Linked DNA regions of Caenorhabditis elegans. The protein of the gene in region 3 interacts with the protein of the main gene of each other region in a pairwise test. Each region holds a gene or a part of one and is shown on either strand. Other genes may lie near its edges. The genes, in order: ufl-1, daf-3 and ufm-1.

What was found.
Region 1: the proteins of ufm-1 (region 3) and ufl-1 interact in a two-hybrid assay, tested with the Caenorhabditis elegans proteins (one study listed by BioGRID).
Region 2: the proteins of ufm-1 (region 3) and daf-3 interact in a two-hybrid assay, tested with the Caenorhabditis elegans proteins (one study listed by BioGRID).

What each region holds. Positions count from the first base shown.
Region 1 is NC_003282.8:7,032,196-7,038,820, forward strand, and holds ufl-1 (E3 UFM1-protein ligase 1 homolog), read right to left. Parts: upstream 4,665-6,625; coding exon 4,591-4,664; intron 4,396-4,590; coding exon 4,278-4,395; intron 4,277-4,277; exon of another isoform or gene 4,184-4,276; coding exon of another isoform or gene 4,049-4,183; intron 3,994-4,048; coding exon of another isoform or gene 3,934-3,993; exon of another isoform or gene 3,928-3,933; intron 3,436-3,927; coding exon 3,281-3,435; intron 3,126-3,280; coding exon 2,886-3,125; intron 2,837-2,885; coding exon 2,628-2,836; intron 2,583-2,627; coding exon 2,436-2,582; intron 2,380-2,435; coding exon 2,096-2,379; intron 2,055-2,095; coding exon 1,839-2,054; intron 1,793-1,838; coding exon 1,633-1,792; intron 1,582-1,632; coding exon 1,287-1,581; intron 1,006-1,286; coding exon 825-1,005; intron 776-824; coding exon 647-775; 3' UTR 501-646; downstream 1-500. Other genes in the region: nabp-1 (OB domain-containing protein), read right to left, coding at 177-236, 286-364; C06G3.3 (uncharacterized protein), read left to right, coding at 3,934-3,993, 4,049-4,183; cogc-2 (Conserved oligomeric Golgi complex subunit 2), read right to left, coding at 4,888-5,157, 5,255-5,339, 5,385-5,633, 5,681-5,797, 5,843-6,246, 6,293-6,625. UniProt on the Caenorhabditis elegans protein: E3 UFM1-protein ligase that mediates ufmylation of target proteins.
Region 2 is NC_003284.9:819,422-827,502, forward strand, and holds the start of daf-3 (Smad protein daf-3), read right to left. Parts: upstream 6,006-8,081; coding exon 5,981-6,005; intron 5,842-5,980; coding exon 5,653-5,841; intron 4,749-5,652; coding exon 4,647-4,748; intron 4,426-4,646; exon of another isoform or gene 4,421-4,425; coding exon of another isoform or gene 4,393-4,420; coding exon 4,237-4,392; intron 4,190-4,236; coding exon 4,038-4,189; intron 3,992-4,037; coding exon 3,752-3,991; intron 3,558-3,751; coding exon 3,423-3,557; intron 3,271-3,422; coding exon of another isoform or gene 3,262-3,270; coding exon 2,601-3,261; intron 1,311-2,600; coding exon 1,180-1,310; intron 1,001-1,179; coding exon 879-1,000; intron 835-878; coding exon 782-834; intron 450-781; coding exon 278-449; intron 75-277; coding exon 1-74. UniProt on the Caenorhabditis elegans protein: Transcriptional regulator and common SMAD (co-SMAD), required to regulate entry into a developmentally arrested larval state known as dauer, in response to harsh environmental conditions.
Region 3 is NC_003281.10:7,856,875-7,860,012, forward strand, and holds ufm-1 (Ubiquitin-fold modifier 1), read left to right. Parts: upstream 1-2,104; 5' UTR 2,105-2,106; coding exon 2,107-2,195; intron 2,196-2,265; coding exon 2,266-2,461; 3' UTR 2,462-2,638; downstream 2,639-3,138. Other genes in the region: tag-307 (ApaG domain-containing protein), read right to left, coding at 16-101, 148-232, 277-368; coq-5 (2-methoxy-6-polyprenyl-1,4-benzoquinol methylase, mitochondrial), read right to left, coding at 550-975, 1,022-1,284, 1,414-1,582; tomm-7 (Mitochondrial import receptor subunit TOM7 homolog), read left to right, coding at 2,739-2,876, 3,136-3,138. UniProt on the Caenorhabditis elegans protein: Ubiquitin-like modifier which can be covalently attached via an isopeptide bond to substrate proteins as a monomer or a lysine-linked polymer.

The DNA.
Region 1 (6,625 bases), on a different chromosome or scaffold from region 3:
TCCATAAATAAATATATTTTTATCTAAAAACTATGAAAATTCGAAGGAAATTTAAATTACAGTACTGCTTAAAGGCGCATACCTTTTCGAACTCCACAAAAATTGTCGTTCCGAGATTGAAAATCGAATCGTTTTTTGGAGCAAAAATCGCTAAATTTCGGTTTATCTGATCTTACCCGATGCGTCAGCCACTTTCATTGAAATAATTGTTCCCGTCTGTGTTCTGCGATGAATCCCTTAAAATTTATTCATTTTTATAAATTCTTTCTGAAAATCAAAGGATACCTGGATCTAGAACAATTACAGTAACCGAAAACGAATTCATGTTTGGCTGCAATTGGTGGAGAGGTATGTCACCGGACATCTGAAGAAGATAAATTCAAAAAAATTGAGTTATGAAGTTTTTCGAGGATTAAACTTTGCTGTGAATATTAATCAAAATCTACAGCAGAAGAGATCCGAGCACAACGACCATCAAAATTTGCGATCTATTGAAAAGTAATTGAAATTGGGCTGTTTATGAAAGCTACCTTCTGACTAAAAAAACAATTACAGATTTAATTTTAACAGAATAAAACACGTGCAATACATTCATATTTCAGTTCTCAATAAATTAATTAAACAAGTTATACGAATTATTTCGATATTATGGCATAATTGACTGTTTCAGACTAGAAATATCATTAACGAGCATTTCTTTGGCCACTTCGTCGCCCTTGTTCTTGATGCAAGTAACTACGCCTTTTTGGCATGCCTGAAGTAGGTCGAAGACATTCTGGAAATAGATATTCTGATAGATATATAGATGTTTAGTATTCTATTACCTCGGGGCATAAATCCTTAATTTGAGCAACAAGTTGAGAAACAAACTTTCCGCTGGCAGTTGTTGGGCGTCCAGCCTTGGCTAAAATATAAAGAACAGACAGAAGAAGAGTTGTTGCTGGCTCCGTTTGAGAACAAAGTTGCTCATGAAGTTCCGCTGTAATTTTAGCTCCAACTTCGGCTCTGAAAAAATTTGTTTTTTTTTAAATTTTAAATGTCACTTTTTTTCTAAAAAAAATATACTTGAAATTGTGAAACAATTTCAATTTCGATCAATAATATTTAAAAATTGCAAAATTATTCGTATTTCGCTTTTTTTTTCAAAAAATTCGAATTCAGCCCTGTTTCCAGCAGCTGCGACAAATTTTGAAATTTAAAATTTTAGCTTATTTTTTTCCAAAATTTTAACTCACTATAAATAATTTTTAGATATTTTTTGGAAAGAATTATGAAAATAATTTTACCTTCCTTTCTTGTCGACTTTTTTCAGTGCCAACGAAGTTGCACTTGGAGCCGAACAATTATAAACAGCATCATGAAATTTATCCAAAGCATCATCATCTGTAGATTTCAGCGACGCAAACACTGATCGAATCGGATCTCTGAGCATTTCAGGAAGGTTTTCAATTGTTTCTTCTCGCTGTTTTTCCTTCAATTGGTGTGCATTATCTACTCCCATAACATATGAAAGCAACGCCAATGCAATTTCATTTCCAACTGTTTTCAGAAGATATTGCCGAAGATCTGAGCCAAGGGGATCTGAAATTCAAAATAAATTATTTTTCTATTCAGTTTTAAAGTTTTTTCTACCAGCAAAAGTGGAAGTAGCCGTCTCAAATGTGTTAAATGAATCGTAAAGTTGTCTACACTTATCGCCGATTGCAGACAATGACTTTTTGGAATTAGCGACGCTGGCAACCAATTGATGTGCTTGAATGTCTTGAACTTTTTTGCGAAGTAGCGTTGTTGTCTGAAACATAAAAATTATTTATTTCTGAAGAATCCATGAGATGGACCTCTTGATTCAACTTTTCCACAATTACTGAAAGAATTTCTTCGGGTACTGATTGACTTTCACGAAGCCATATTTCCAGTTCCTCACTATTTATGGAAATATTCGCCGACAAATTGGATGAAGTTGAAGGAGCAGACGATTTCGAACCACCTTTCACACTTTTTGCGTTTTTCTTTCCTCCTTTTCCACCTTTCTTTCCATCTCCCCAGTCATCCGTCTGAAAAATTAAATAGTTTTTTTTCAATTCAATTTGTATACCTCTTCTTGAACTTTCACTGCTGCCTTGGCTCCGCCTTGTTTCTTTTTCTCCGCTTCTAATCGATCAACTTCCTCATGTGCTCTGACGTCCAACAATTTGTCAATTGAACGCAGAGCTTCAGTCAAAACTGCTCCCTTGAACACAAAACCCTCTGCAAAATGCGAATCTTTTTCCACATTTGCAACTTTTGACCCGATTTCATCCTCATCAGCAGTATCTAGAGGAAGATTTAGAGATTGAAGAGCCAAATGCACGTCGGATATTCCGCTTTTTTGTAAGTCTTCTGAAAATTTAAAAATTCAATTAAGTAATAAAATTCAAAACAATTAAACAAAAAACCTTGAACAGCATTAATACATTGATCCATGAGTTCTTTTGTCATAAACATAGATCTCATACTGACAAGTTTTTTGAATTCAGATGATCCAAGAACTTCTTCGAGAGCTGGTTTTGCATCTACTCCTAGAGTTTTTAGAGTTGAAATTTCTGGAATTTAAAGAAATTAAAAGATAAACAAATAGATGATCATACCTAAAAATTCATTCTGTCTATATTGATTCAAAACGCACGACTTCACAAGATGATCGTACATCATTGGACGATACGAGCAGGAAGGTGATGTACGAGAACCGATTAAAGTACCAGGAATTTCGCCGAGAGATTGAAGATTTTCGAACGCAATCCAAAATCGTTTCGGTGTGAGACCAACTCGTTTTTGGATAGTTGAAATAGGAGTGATTCTGTTTGGAAAAAACATTATTTGAACGGCAATGGAAAACAGATTCTCACTTAGTTAATGCAATCAGAATAGCGCGTAGAACCAATTGTCTGGCATTCAAAAATGAAGAAGTATAGATCGTATCCCCATCAACCACTCCTTGAAAATCAGAAGATCCCAATTTTTCGATTAGCAAGGATTGCAAAAGTTCCGATGATAGATTCCAGTGCTTGCAGAGTGCTGCAGTTGTTTGATTTCCTTGCTCATCGAGAAGTGTACGCAATTCGTTACGAAGACGATGTACGTATTCACTGAAAATTTATATTTTTTGAGTGTTCAATGAACAAATGATTTTGTCGATTTGCAATTTGCAATCGACACGTAACAATAATGAAGTCAATGTGTTCTTCTTTGTTCTTTTCCGAACTTTAGGCCTATCTAAATCACGTGAATAAACTTGACCTACGTCGCGAATATCTCTGCATTCGAAATTGTAAATTCATCATCAGTCGAAACAATCAAGCGCGAAGTCTTCTCGATATGATCGAAATCTATGTTAAGAGCAACTGCGATATCAGTGAGAGAAGCACGTCCTCCAGCGGCTATGCACTCGTTTTTTATCTGAAAAATGGATTGATGAACTTGAAACTTTGGAAAATATTCAGCCTGTGTAATTTTCCAATTATTCTGCCAAAATACGGTAGCCGGTCTCGAAGCGACATTATTATCTTATACACAAAGAGCAACGCGCCTTTAAAGATTACTGTAATTATTCGTGTGTAGATAATATTTTCCAGATTTTCAAAACGTAAATGACACATTTTTGCTTACAAATATTTATTTAACTACTTTTTTCTGTGATACTTTATAATAAAAATTAATTGTTCTTCTTTCATATTTATTCCTAACCGTAAATTTATCCTCAATAACAAATCGAAAACCAAGGCTGCTGTCAAAATGAAAACATGATCACATGTTTTGCTGCTTCCAGTTTATTCTGTACTCACATTTCTGCATTTGTGTAAACATAAAAGTTCATTGCGGTCAACAAAAAGGCGGAGTTTGTGAGAAAAAAAAGAAAGAATAGATAGACATTTTTATTTTCTCAAACACTCAACAATGCCCAATCCATCTCCCGCAATTCTAATGCCAAAGTCTATATTAAAGAAACCTGATCAAGTGAGCCTAAGCTGTTTGGAATGTTAGTATTCTTTTAAAAAAAAGGAAATTTCAGAGCCAACACGAGTCACCATCAAATTCTCCAGTTTCTCCATCACCCCAAGAAGTTCCACGTGGCAAAAAAGAATGGTGGCTTCCATTTAATATACCATTTCATAATGAGATTTTTCGAAAAAATTCAGGGTTCTGAAATTTAAGAAACGACTACATATTGGTCTCATCTACCAATATTTTACTTTTATTTTCATTTTTTTTTTTTGAATAAAAAATTTCTGCCCTCTCACCTCAGTTTCCAAGTGGTTTTTAGTTACATAACTATGCCCATCTCTAGTATAGACCACGTCAATTCGATGAGAAGCGATAAGTTTTTGAAGGACTTCAATGCAATTCACCTCGGAGAGCCTTAAAGAATAATTTTTTAAAATTATTCTACAATTGAGAATTTTAGTGAAAAATTGTTAATACAGATGAGATAAATAATTAAATTTTTGATACTAAAACCTTATTAATTTTTTGTTGTTTTTAGGGCAAATGGTGTATGTGCTATCATTTAGTATCAAATATATAAAATGGCCAAGAATCAATGATATTTCTCACTTTTTAGATGATTGTGACAGTTGAACTCTCTGCAAATCTGATGCAAGTTTCTGAATATCTGCCCAGGAAGTCATCTGAAATATTTACCACTTTAATATATCAAATGAAAAAGAAAGAAAAAGAAATGAATCGATGGATTTTTAACCGAACTTTTAAGAAAGTGAACACAAATACGATGCTATACACTTTTTATTCCAATACCATGAACCCATATTAAGGCAATAGACGATTTTAAAGACTTCAACCCATTTGTTAAAATAAAATGTACATGTAAATAAATAATCACATAAAATTAATTCAAGCATTCCCCGCTTCTTCGTTCTGATTTTTCTCTTGTACAATCGCCGAACGTGCATCTTTGTCAAATCGATTGACGACTTCTTGTAATCCGGTGAGATCAGCTTGTGAGAATACAAGATTTTCCGCATAGCTCAGGAAATATTTAGCATCATGATAGATTTGTTGTTTGATTTTATCGTCATCAGTAACCGTGGAGCCAGAATCAGTTGTGGTTTTCCGTTTGAATCGGGATAAAGAAGATCCTGTAGCTTCGACACTATCCAGCACCTGAAAACAAATATTTTGTTGCAATTTGCATCAATTGGAGTGGTTTATAAACTTAGCGGGAAAAAAAATTATCTCATGTGTCCAAAATAAACGTTACCTCGTTCCCTTTCCCCACGAAATAATTGAATGCTGAAAGATTAACTTTTCGAACAATTTCATCGGTGTGAGGATGTTCTTCGCAGCTGAAAAAAATACGTACAAAATTTTGTGGAAGCAATATAAACTACCATAGTTTTTCTTTCAAATTCTCAACCATTTCAATAGCTGTAACAACATATTTGGAATGCGTTGTCGGTGGTGATTTCTTCGTCCATCTGTATTGTTTAGGAACATCGGAAACTTGAGCAATTTCTTGATGAAGAACTTCGGAGAACATTTCAATAATACTATCATCAATTTGAACACAAAGACTATCAATTGATCGACCATGCTTTGTTAGGCATTGACCGAATGGAGCGGTATCCACTGTGATATCACTGAAAAAATGATATCTAAATGTAAGTAAGTATTTAAATAAACGAACTGAAATTTTCCCCAAATTGACTCCAACGCGAAATCGAAAACCAATTGATGAAGATTTCCAGTATCCGAGCGGAGAGTAACCATTGAAGTCCAATCTCTTTTTTCTTCCATGAAATAACTAGAAAACAAAATATTTTTCGTGAAGAAGAACTTTTAATCTAACTTTTTCATAGTTTGACTCCACGAGAAATGCTTTAGCAAAAGCTTCAATGTGAAATCCCATAATTTATCAACAATAGGAGGAAGATACACATCATCACTCCACACATGCTCAATTGCTGTTATAATTGCTCTTGAAACTCCGCAGTGCAGCTGAGGAGTGTTTTCTCGATTTTCAGAAGTTTCTGGCTCGGCAAACATTTCGGGAGACATCAGCTGATCGCACTGTTTTCCGAATCGATGTGTTTCTAATTTAAAATAAACTAATAAATTGAATTTATCCCTGATCGACTTAAGCATTGCACGGCAGGTATGAGAAGATGGCCAATTATCGATAAATTCTTGAGTGAGCAAGAAACATTCATGGAAAAGTCGTGTGTCACTTGGGACTGCGACGGCTCCCATACACTGAAAATACAAATAATTATGAATATAAAAAGTTATGAACGGAAACCTTATCAATAAATGTCAGAATGAACGTGAGAAGGGTTTCGTCCAGAAAACGGCGGATGTTTCCACGAAAATGTTCAGTCCCCATTTTTTCAGCCCAAGTTTCACGCATTTTTTTGACGCTTTCGAAGACTTGTTTCAAGAGTTTCAACTGATTACTTTCGTCGTGTTTCTCATTTACAAATTCGGCATACAAAAGATCAGAAACCAAGAGGGCAGTTAGTGAATGCGTACTCTCCGTTAACGATAAAATTGAATAAATGAGAGGAAGATTTTGACAATCACCGGCGGCACTTCGAACTCCTTCTGCACAGAGAACCGCTTCCAGCTGAGATAG
Region 2 (8,081 bases), on a different chromosome or scaffold from region 3:
ACTTCATGCGGTTTTGAAGCCAAACACTCCCGTCTTTTTTGTAGGAAAAGCGAATTCCATCCACTATTGCTTTACTGAAACATTTCAATGGTTCAAAAGCTTTAAAAATTTGTGTTATTTCTTTAGTTAGAAAATTCATAAGCTGGAAACTATCGAACAACATTTCCGAATTTGGATTGGATTGTTACCCTGATACTGTCATTGCCCAAAAAATTGGATTGTAAAAAAAATTGTACCTATGTTCTATAATATATCAATAAGTTTCAGATTTACTTACCGAACTTTAAACGCCACTGGTTCTCTAATTGGATTTGGCTCAAGTCCGAGACTGTAACGATTCTCAGAGCAAATGAATCCGCCATCCACGTGGAAATTTCCTCTCGAACATTTTTTCTCGCCAATTTGCAAATTTTTCTCATAGTACACAATTGTTCCCCATTTTTCGTTCACTGAAAAAAGCAAGCAGTTTTTTTTTATGTTGTGAACATTTTAAATTTACTTGATCTTTTACATTTTTGGGTATTTATGTATTATATCCCCGTCGTTTTAAATGAAAGTTTTTAAGAAATAAAGCATGAAAACGTGTGGAAGATTTCTTGATGATAACCATTTCTAAATCTGAAGAAGATAATCCATATCACGTTTAATTTAAATAAAGTTATGAATGAAAATTTAATTTAATTTTATGTTGGCGGGGTATAATACATAATTACTCATTTTGTTTTCAATCACTAACACGATTTTTTAAAGTGAACTTTAGAGAGAAAAAAAAGAAACTTACAATCACTAACTTCTGGCCCCTCTCCTGAGAAAGTTACACTTTCTGATGTGAGCCTAAAAAATACTTGGCTTTTAATTCCATGAAAACTAGAACGAACCTCAAAATGAACTTGCAAATGTCATGATATGGTGCATCTTCCGGCATGATGTTCTCCAAAACCTCACCGTCTGTCATCCGCGGTCGAACAACTGTCACACCACAAATCGGCGAATCAAATTCCTAGAAAAAACACAATATTCTTGAATGAAAAACAAAAATCGTTTGTTTGATGATTCAGAAAGCAAAAAGTGACATTAAATTCAATATTTTGTTTGGCACCTTATCGACACAACTTATATGCGATAAGCTGTCAATCTTGAGTGACACGTACATAGTAGCTACATATTAGAAATACTTACTTCAATGAATTTGTTACTAGACCGAATTATTGCGCCGGATTGTTCACTTTCTCCTTCAAAAAATCGATTTCCAAATGTCTGTCTACAGTACCGACGGAACACGTCCAAGGTGACTGTTGATGGTTGTAACACTGTAATTGAGTTTACTTCAAGTTTTACAAATTTTAGGAATGAACTGAAAAGGCGACAAAAAAATGTATCATGTATGATGAAAAGTAAAATTGTTCGCAAAGCGGCTGTAGAAAATCTCTAAAAAAATGAGTTTTGAGAATCAAAATCACTGCTTTTAAACCAACTTCTTTATGCAATAAATCACCGACTATACAACTATAATCATACGCCTCGTGGTCTCAACTTGGCTATTTTTTTAGAAAATAAATCTGATAACTGATATGAAATTGGCAGGACACCTTTTCAAAATGTTGTAAGTTGGCATTTTCCAATCAATTTCAAATAAATTACATGTGTCTACCAGAAGAAGATATTTTGATGAGATCTAAAATAAAAAAACTGCAAAATGTTTATCGAAAAAAAAATTTGCAAAATTGATGCCTTTTCAAACCTACGTGCAAATTTAAAAGGCAAATATTTGAGGGGCTTCATCCTTTCTCGTTATTATCAAGTACTTATATTAGAATTTATGTATAAGGATTAAACTTAACATTAAATTTCCTGCAGAGATTTCTTGATTATTTTGCGAAAGAATATGAACTCTCAATACTATTCATAAAATTTTTTCATACTTAATTCTAGAGCAATTTAGTCAAAATTGTAAAAGCTGCACTTTTAGTGAAGTTTGAAAACGCTTCGTTTTCATCGGAAAAGGGCGAAAATCCAATAGAAAAATTCAAATAAGGCTCTGTTAATGGACATCCCAAAAAGGATTAAACTGCGGGAATTGGCTATGCACCTGTCCGCCTACTTATATTCTACCCCTTTATATAATGAGGTACCCATAAATAATATTTTGCCGTTTCTGGTTTGACACCTGGAGATATTAAACCTTTGTAAATCCATGCCTTGATAGGTGGCAGTATTGTGTGGCTGAGTGACTAAAATTATTAGCTCTCGGCTGGAACACCAAACCAGGGGTGAGCGGCAAACGATTTTTTCAGCCAAATCGGCAAATCGGCAAATTGCTTCAATTAAAATTTCCGTCAAATCGGCAAACCGGCTAATTGCCGGAATCGAAAATTTCCGGCGATTTGCTGAATTTGTGGACAAAAAAAATTGCCAAACGGCAATTGCCGCCCACCCTGACAGCGGACCGGCACATCCTGCCGACATCCGTTCAAAGTCGGAAATTTTCGGCAATCGACAATTCTTGCAATTGCGGCGTCCCTCTAGTTCAACCCTCATGCCTACTGTCAGAATAACTTTTTCTCCTTACAACAACTGTTTTTTTTTTAAATCATACGTACCTGGTCTTGAAATTGGTGGATCATTCGGTACCTGACCTTGGTGCCCTGGTTGATGACTGCCTTGTTGGGACGTATGGTTTTGTGATAGTTGTGGCGGCTGGTGTGGTTGCTGATTGAAAGGATGGTGAAAATCCGGATAAGGAGTTGGAAACCCGTACAAGTTCGGACCACAGTCGTAGGAATAGTGATTTGGATGGCTAATATCATTATAATGGTGATTTTGGTGGAATGGATTGTTGTTTTCTGAAGAGCAACTCGGCCCATTCATTCCATATCCCTGATGGAGAGGTGGTGGCATTTGTGGCATTTGCGGCATTTGCGGAATTGGGTTCATGTTCAACGGGTAATGGGTCTGTGGAGCAATGGAGTACGGATGTGAAACCCCTGGGTTATGTGGCGCCTGATGTGGGAGAGGATGGGCAAACGTTGCGCCAACTGAAGGCAATTGTTGAGGCATAGGCTGAGGCCTTGTGTGCATGTTCATCGGAGGCGGACGAATGGAAGCTGGTGGTATAAATCTACTCATATCGTCAACTGGATCCTGCCGACCTGGAGTGTGGTAGCGTTGATGTGGCGGCGGCATATCTCGATTGTCATGATCCCTCTGCCCAACAATCATAGTTCCAATGACAATTTCGTAGTGATAGGGATTCACGCATACCTGTAAGGCCTAATATTCATATTAAAACTTTTAAAAGTCACATCTTCTCAACATTAGGCAATCAACTTAATCAAACAAAGGTCACAGAGTTAACCGAATAAGGGAAGAAGCTAACATGTGCCACATCACATCAAAGGAAAAATGAAACAATTCACACTTACTTCACCTACCATGTCACTTTTCATTTCAAATGCGTGCTTGCAGTGGTCCACATGACGCGTTTCGTTTTTTGTCATTTCATTAAACCTCCACAGTTTGCCATAGACTACGTGAGGGAAACCTTTTCTTCCGTGGACCTGTAATTTGTATGGAGTTTGTGGGTACTTTGATATCATAAGCTGGTCTAATACAAGTTTCATAATGAAACGTCTCAAAATAAATTCCAAAACTTTTAAAAGTCGGATCATTTATCTAGCGTAGGTTCGTTGAAAGATCATAATTTAATGTCTATAGGCTCAAAATGTGTCCTAGAAATTTTTTTTGATCTCACCTGTAACCGGCCATCAAGTGTCCTTGGAATTGTAATGCAACCGGTATATTTTGTACCTTTTGAAAGAACCACATCAATCAGGTTCTGGAGATCATTCTTCTTATCCTTCAATTTTTTCACCAGGGACTCGCAAGCTTTTTGGTCGAACTCTCGATCAATATTGTTTTTGACCAAGTTCAACGATAATCGATTTCGTTTTGTCCGATACGCATTCAGTTGTATGAGTTCACTTTCTTTTAACTGAAAATGCAATATTGTAATCAGTACTACAAACTTAAGTATTTACCGTTCTATAATACATCAAATATTCTACAATTTTGTTTGGCGGCGCACTAGCGTCGGGAACTTCGATCTTTTTCCGTGCTTCATCTACTGCTGGTTTTCCAAGCTTCAACACATCCAAATCGTACTCGGTCATATTTGTGTTTTTTGTGTCAACTGAAAATATATTAAGTTCTTTTGCTCACACTTTTTTTGCCACTTACATAAATCTGGATCCGGGTAGTTGACACCATCTTCCGGGTCATCATCCTGACTGTCTGGATCCAAATATGGCGGGATTTCCATTTTAATACCACTCCGTTGTAGAATCTTTGTAGTTGTATTCACTGGTGACATCATCGGTGTGTGCTCGTCGGGAACTAGAAGAGAAGTTGCTATTAGCTTCATGGTCAGAGAGAAATAAGGTTTGATAAGCAACGAAATTTGGCAACAATTCGCTTATCAATACGTGTGTTAGTGACTGCCAGACGGTAAACATCATGAGGTTCGTGTTGAAATTTTAGATTTTTTGTTGGCAACAAATTCTTTTGAACCTTCTATTGCACCATTTATGCATCATATTCAACGTTTTTTTTTATTTTCAAGCTATACTACTATGTTCGACGTTATTTACCTTCAGTTTTCGGAGTGATTAGCTTCAACCCGCCATTGAATGCCAATGACTTGTTGGCATCACGAGGTGGTTTCGTGTCCAATGTGATTATTGGTTTAAATTCTGAATTTCAGTTTGAAATGTAAAATTTAAAAAGCAACAAAACGGGGAAGGTTTTTAAAACAAAAAGGAAAATAAGCATATCAAACCAACACAAACCACCATACACCACGACTACTAATCACGTAGGGAAATTGATTTGGTTTTCACTAGATTTCAGTGTTTTACAGAGTTTGCATTACTTGAAAGTTTAAAAAAAATTGAAATTTGAAAATAGAAAGCGAGAATTAGGCAACTGTTAGAAATGCTACGATTTTATTTGCAATTAGAAATACCTTTTTAAATTGATAATGTTGCAGTTTTGCAGCTAATACCAAGGTTGTTTCAGAGTATTCTATGGACAAAATTGCATGTATAACTATTTTTGGTACTTGTGTATTATGCTTCCGCTATTTTAGAAATTAATTTTTTAACTTATAAAATAAAAACTTATAAAACTCGTATTTACCATTCCTGAGCCCAACGAAGAAAATAGATATCAAGTTTAATTTAAATAGATAAATTAATGAAAAATTGATTAATTTCAAAAATAGCGGGAACAAGTACCCTATTTTTTATTTGGTATTTTTTGAGTGCAAAATTAATTTTCAATGTAAGTAGATATAAGAGAATGTAAGAGAATTTTGAGTTCCGCACTACTCGTTGCCACCTTAAAATACTAAAATTTTCTCTAGAAATGTACTAGATTAGTATGTACAAAATTAATAGAAACTGCAAGGCTATTTTCCAACTAGTCACTTCGGGTGCAAGACTAATTGGAAAAAGAAGATGTCTGTTAACTTATCAACATTTGTTCTACTACCAAAATAAGCGATTTTCTGAATAATTCGAATCTATTTTAATTGATATTTTATATCCAACACGACACTCCAAACACTTCACTCCTATAGCTACTATTTAAACTCACCATTAGCCATATTTCCTACATTGAGCAGATTAAAACCTGCTCCAGCCCCGAGCAGGTTCCTCTCATATTCCTCTACATCAGGAATATCTTCCAATCCATGAGAAGGTTTTCCACCATAAAGCGGCCCTCCGGTGCTGGTACCGGGCTGAGAATAGTTGAACTGTGGCGGGATGGAGGTACCGGGAAGGCCTGTAAGTTGGGATATGGACTATGGAATTGGTTTTTTTTTCAAAACTGAAACAGAAGATCCTGTTTTTTTATTCAAACTGTAACTTTTTTTTAAATAACATTCCGAAAATAAAGTAATTTCAATAAAACAAAAACTCACCCGTTAAATTATGATGATCACCCATTTATGTGTACTCTGACTATTAATATTTTTCCTTTACAATTTGATTACCTGTAAAATTGAGTTTTGGAATAAAATTAAAACAACAAGGAAAAACCGGGCGGCAAAGAAGTAGGAAATACAATACCAGCATGGACAATAAAAGGTACAAACTGTGGTATAAACCTGTTTGTCTTTTTTTTTTGAAATATCATGTTTCGTGGTATTTTTGGGAATAAAGGGAGATTGTGTTTATAGGGGAAAAAAAAAGTTGAGAAAAACTTTAATTGTAAAGCTTGATATTTTGAGCTACTGTCAAGATTTTTTGGTGTTTTCAGTAAAAACATATTCAGAAAGGAAAACCAAAAAACCACAGATTTAACTTTTAAAAAATATTATGATTTCGAAAAGAAAATTGAAAAGAATTGTGTTAATAGGAACTTGTTTGGAATCAATTTAAGAGAAATAAAAAAAAGAACGTGTTCAAATACGGGGTATTAAAAGTAATTTTTGACAGTCTATTAATAATAATAATTGACAATTCGAAAATAAAAATAAAAATATCCCAAATTAAAAAAAAAAGATCGAAACCAAACCACTACTTGTTTCTTCGTCTTCTATCTCTTTTTCTCGTTACGCACACTCTATCTCGCTCACTCTTAAACTACGTACGTGTGTCTGCGTCTCTTCGCCCAGCACACTATTTCATTGCTAAAAGTGTGTTGAGGTGGCAGTGCTCGCTGCAAAGAATCGATAAGTTGAGCGTAGTTGGACCAACAAGTGAGAAGACGGGGGGAATAAGATAATGAGGGAACAAGTAGAGAGCTACAAGAGAGTGCACATGACCTCGGTTTGATGTTTTGATCTTTTTTTACTGAAAAAAGAGATTGATAAGAAACTTACAAAAAACCTCTCGTGCAAAACAAAGGAAAAAAAGAACTTCAAGCGTTTTTACCTAAATAATTGTTTTTTTTTATAAGGGTAGTTTGACCTATGCTAAGCATAAAATAGTGAGCTAACTAGAAAAAATAAGTGGTAGACCTACATTGTAAGTACTCAAACATCACAATTTTTAAAAAAAGATCTACAAAATGTATAGATCACTTTCTAGATGACTCATATATATTTTTTGTTTTCACTGGTCTCATCTCAGTTTGATTTTTTGAAATCTCGCCAAATTGATGCGTGTGATATCAGAATGTTTTGTATTAGATTTGTGCAATTGTTTCAGCGAAAAAAACGCTCAAATTTTGTGACCAAAACTGTGTCATAATTAATTAACAAGAAACCACTGAACTATTTGAACATAAACAGAAAAAAAAAGTTGGCTAGTCATTTGCTTTTGGCGAAAAAATTTTGTTTGCATTGATGAAAGTTCATTAGTTTGATCAAGCGGTCAAAAAAAACCGCAAATATTTGAATGAAATCCGTAGATACAATGTGGGCCGAAGGTCAGAGAGACCATGGCATTTTTCAGATAATTTTTTTTTATTGAAAAGGTGGCCACCATAATTCTGAAAAAAAAACCGCGTCTACAGAGAGTATTCAAAAAAAGTTAAATTTTTTTTGTAAAGTTGAAATAACAAATTTTGCCCAATTTAGTTATAACTGTTAAAAATTTGTGGTAGACATTTTAAACAAGAGGAATAAGAGAAATTTATATGAAAGTCGTTAAGGCATTTTTCATTGCACAAAAACTTACAAGATTAAAAAAATTACAATCTCACAGTCCAAACAATCAAAAAACAAATTCAACTAAAGAATCGCGTGATCTTAGCCTTGAAACCGTCAATTATTAACACCTCTAGTACTATAAAAGCGATGGTTTTTCAAAAGATTTTATCGTGAAAGATATCACAGCAGAAACAAAAAGTTCAATTTTTATTGAAGACACTTTTCTTGTACTCTAAACTTGTGAACACGGAATTTTAAAATGTTTACAGAGGCATATAAGATATGTGGAGCATTCATAAAATTTTCTTTAAGAAATGGGGATTTAAAAACTATTCATTAATTTATAACAAAAATCTGATATGATTGTGTTTTGAAAAAATATACTATTTCCACTCTAATGTTTCATTTTCATTCCTCCTCCCGCCTG
Region 3 (3,138 bases):
TTTATTGCTACTTACTTTTGTTGACTTCTTTTTTCATGTAATCTACATGGAAAAGAGCAAACAACGACTCCTTTGTAAGCAAATGTTTTGTGAATGAAAATCTGCAATTTAATATTTTTGCAAAATAACTGGATTGAGTCAACCAACTTGTCCAGCTTCAAATGTTGGTTTATTAGTTGATGGCAAGAGAAGTCCAATTTCTTTCAATATTGGCGTTGTGGCGCTTCTGAATCTTAAAAATGATGATTATCGAGTCTGAAATCATCTATAAATTACCTTGACAGTAAGACTTTCCCAGCGGAAAAGTTTCTTACACTGTGCTGAATAGCACTTCGAAGTTTCATATCTGAAATTGTTGGAATAAACATGAATTTTTTCAGATTTTTTGAGTAACAACGGGAATAAACCACGGAATCATAGATGTCAGGAAATACAAATATAACAACTTTAATTAAATTTATGCAAAAATTCTACACGAAAAATACTGAATATCACCTAGAAAAATGGAATTAAATGAAATTTTAAAAAGAACAAACAAACAGGAATAAATTATTTTCTTGGTTTCATCCCCTTATGAATCGAGCACACTCCAAATGTCAAATTCTCGTATCGAACATTACTAAAGCCTTCTTCTCTAATTATTCTTGCAAACTCGTCTTGATTCGGGAATTTACGAATACTCTCAACCAAATATTGATAACTGGCACGATCACTGGCAAGAATTTCTCCAAGAACCGGGATCACATTGAAGGAGTATGCATCGTAAATTGGTTTCAGTGCAGAATTCACTTCTGAGAACTCCAAAATAGCAAGTTGACCTCCAGGTTTGAGTACACGAAAAGCTTCACGAACAACCTTTTCAGGGTGTGTACAATTTCTGATTCCGAAGGACATTGTGAACAGATCGTAAGTGTTCGACTCAAATGGCATTTGCTCGGCGTTAGCGCATACCCATTCCGCGCGAGATGGTTGGATCTGAAGTAATACATTAAGGATATGGAATTTTTTCAAAAACAATTACATCTCTCTCCTTCTCCGCTCGTTTTTTTCCAACATCGAGCATTGGTTGATTAATATCGGAAACTGTCACTTTTGCGGTAGGCGAATGTCTGAGAATTCTGAAAGCGATATCCCCGGTTCCTCCTGCCATATCCAGACATTTCGCATTATACGGTACTTGCAGGCCACCAACATAATAGTCTTTCCATAATCGGTGAACTCCCATGCTCATTGCATCATTCATCAAATCGTACTTTTTCGCGACGTTTGCGAAGACGTGGTGAACTAAAAAAAGACATATAGTATCAGTAAATTATATAGATGTGTTGGAAAAGGGCTTATTTTATGTAGAGAACTTTGTGATTATTATTTGTGGCTATCAGCTTTTTTACGTTTCTGAATCGAACAGCTAACCTTTCTGCTCCTTCTCTGCCTCATCAACGTCAGTGAATCCAAAATGTGTTTTCTTTCCGGGCTCTGACCGTTTATTATCTGAATTGACTTGATTCACCGAAAACTGCCGGAAATTTCCAACGTTCGTAGGTTTTCTCATGCTTTTAAATAAGTTTGTTGCTCCTTTCATTCTGAAAATAAATGAGTTTTAATTCGGACAAAAGATGAGAAAATTTTGAGAACTTAATTGCGAAGTTGAATGATAAATTAAGTGATAAAAATCACGATACTCTGAAAGTTCTTGCAAGAAATATTCTACCGCATTTTCCCGTGGAGATTCCTAGGCCATCACTCCATAATGAATTTTGAAGAGACGTATTTCTCGTTTTTGTGGTATTTGTACACTAAATACTAGCGTTCGAACTACAATCTTCATTTAAATTTCACTCGAACTTTAACATATGAAAAATAATTGAATTATATTATAGTTCTTGATCACGCCATCACTGGCCTAGGTTCCGTCAAGTGGCCGAGTTTTGTAAGAGACACTTGGCATTTTTCCAGTTTTTCTCTCCTATTGTTTTTCAGTTTTTCAGGTTATTTTGTGCATTTCTGTTATGTCCTTTTCTTTATCAATTTGTTCGACTTTTTAAAAAACAATTTTTCAAACAAACTGGACGATTATTATTGATTTTATGCGAGAGATTTTCAGGAATGTCGGGTGGAACAGCAGCAACAACTGCCGGTTCCAAGGTGACCTTCAAAATCACTCTAACAAGTGATCCGAAGCTCCCATTCAAGGTGTAAGTTTTTATATTTAAATTTTCGGTTTACTTTTGATTTGGAGTTTTGCGTCATGCATTAATTTTTCAGCCTCTCCGTGCCGGAAAGTACCCCATTCACCGCCGTTCTCAAGTTTGCCGCTGAAGAATTCAAGGTCCCTGCGGCTACATCAGCAATCATTACGAACGACGGAGTTGGCGTCAATCCAGCTCAACCTGCCGGAAACATTTTTTTGAAGCACGGAAGTGAACTTCGTCTGATTCCACGTGATCGCGTCGGCCATTGAGCATAAGCCAATTGTTGTCTACATTCCTGTATTATGACATAATTATTTTTACAAAATGTGATGTCTCTGTGCATTTCTATCCTAAACTCGCTAAGTCAGATTTGAATATCTAAATTCTTCTAAATATTAATTTATTGAAATTCCCCTTTCCAAAGTACGCTATGAAGCTTTTTTCTCAAACTTGTTCAATCAATTTATCAATACTGGTTGCTCTTCCGCATTTTATCTTACTTTTTTAAAACTACTTTACTTTTAGTCTTATATTATTTTATTTAAGATGAAGCTCTCCCCAGCTACCAAGTCTTTCATCGGTAAGACAGTCGATATTTCCACATTTGCAATCCAATGGGGATTCGTGCCGTTTGTGGTCTACCTTGGATTTAAGAAAGGCGCTGAGCCAATGCCAAATGGACAGGTAAAAACTAGAAAAAGAAACATTTAGTTTTAAAATCACGTCTCCGAGAGAGCGTAATAAATAAAAAATGCGTCCCATAATACACAAGATTCAAACATTTATATAGATACCGCATTTTCTTTACAAGTTTCTCGTTGTGTAAATAGAACAATTGCATGCGAGACGCTGCCAATTATTTTTTAATTTATTTGTCAAAAGTTTAAGTTTTACCAAAAACACCTATGCTTTCAATTCAAAGATTTAAGAATTCATATTTCAGATC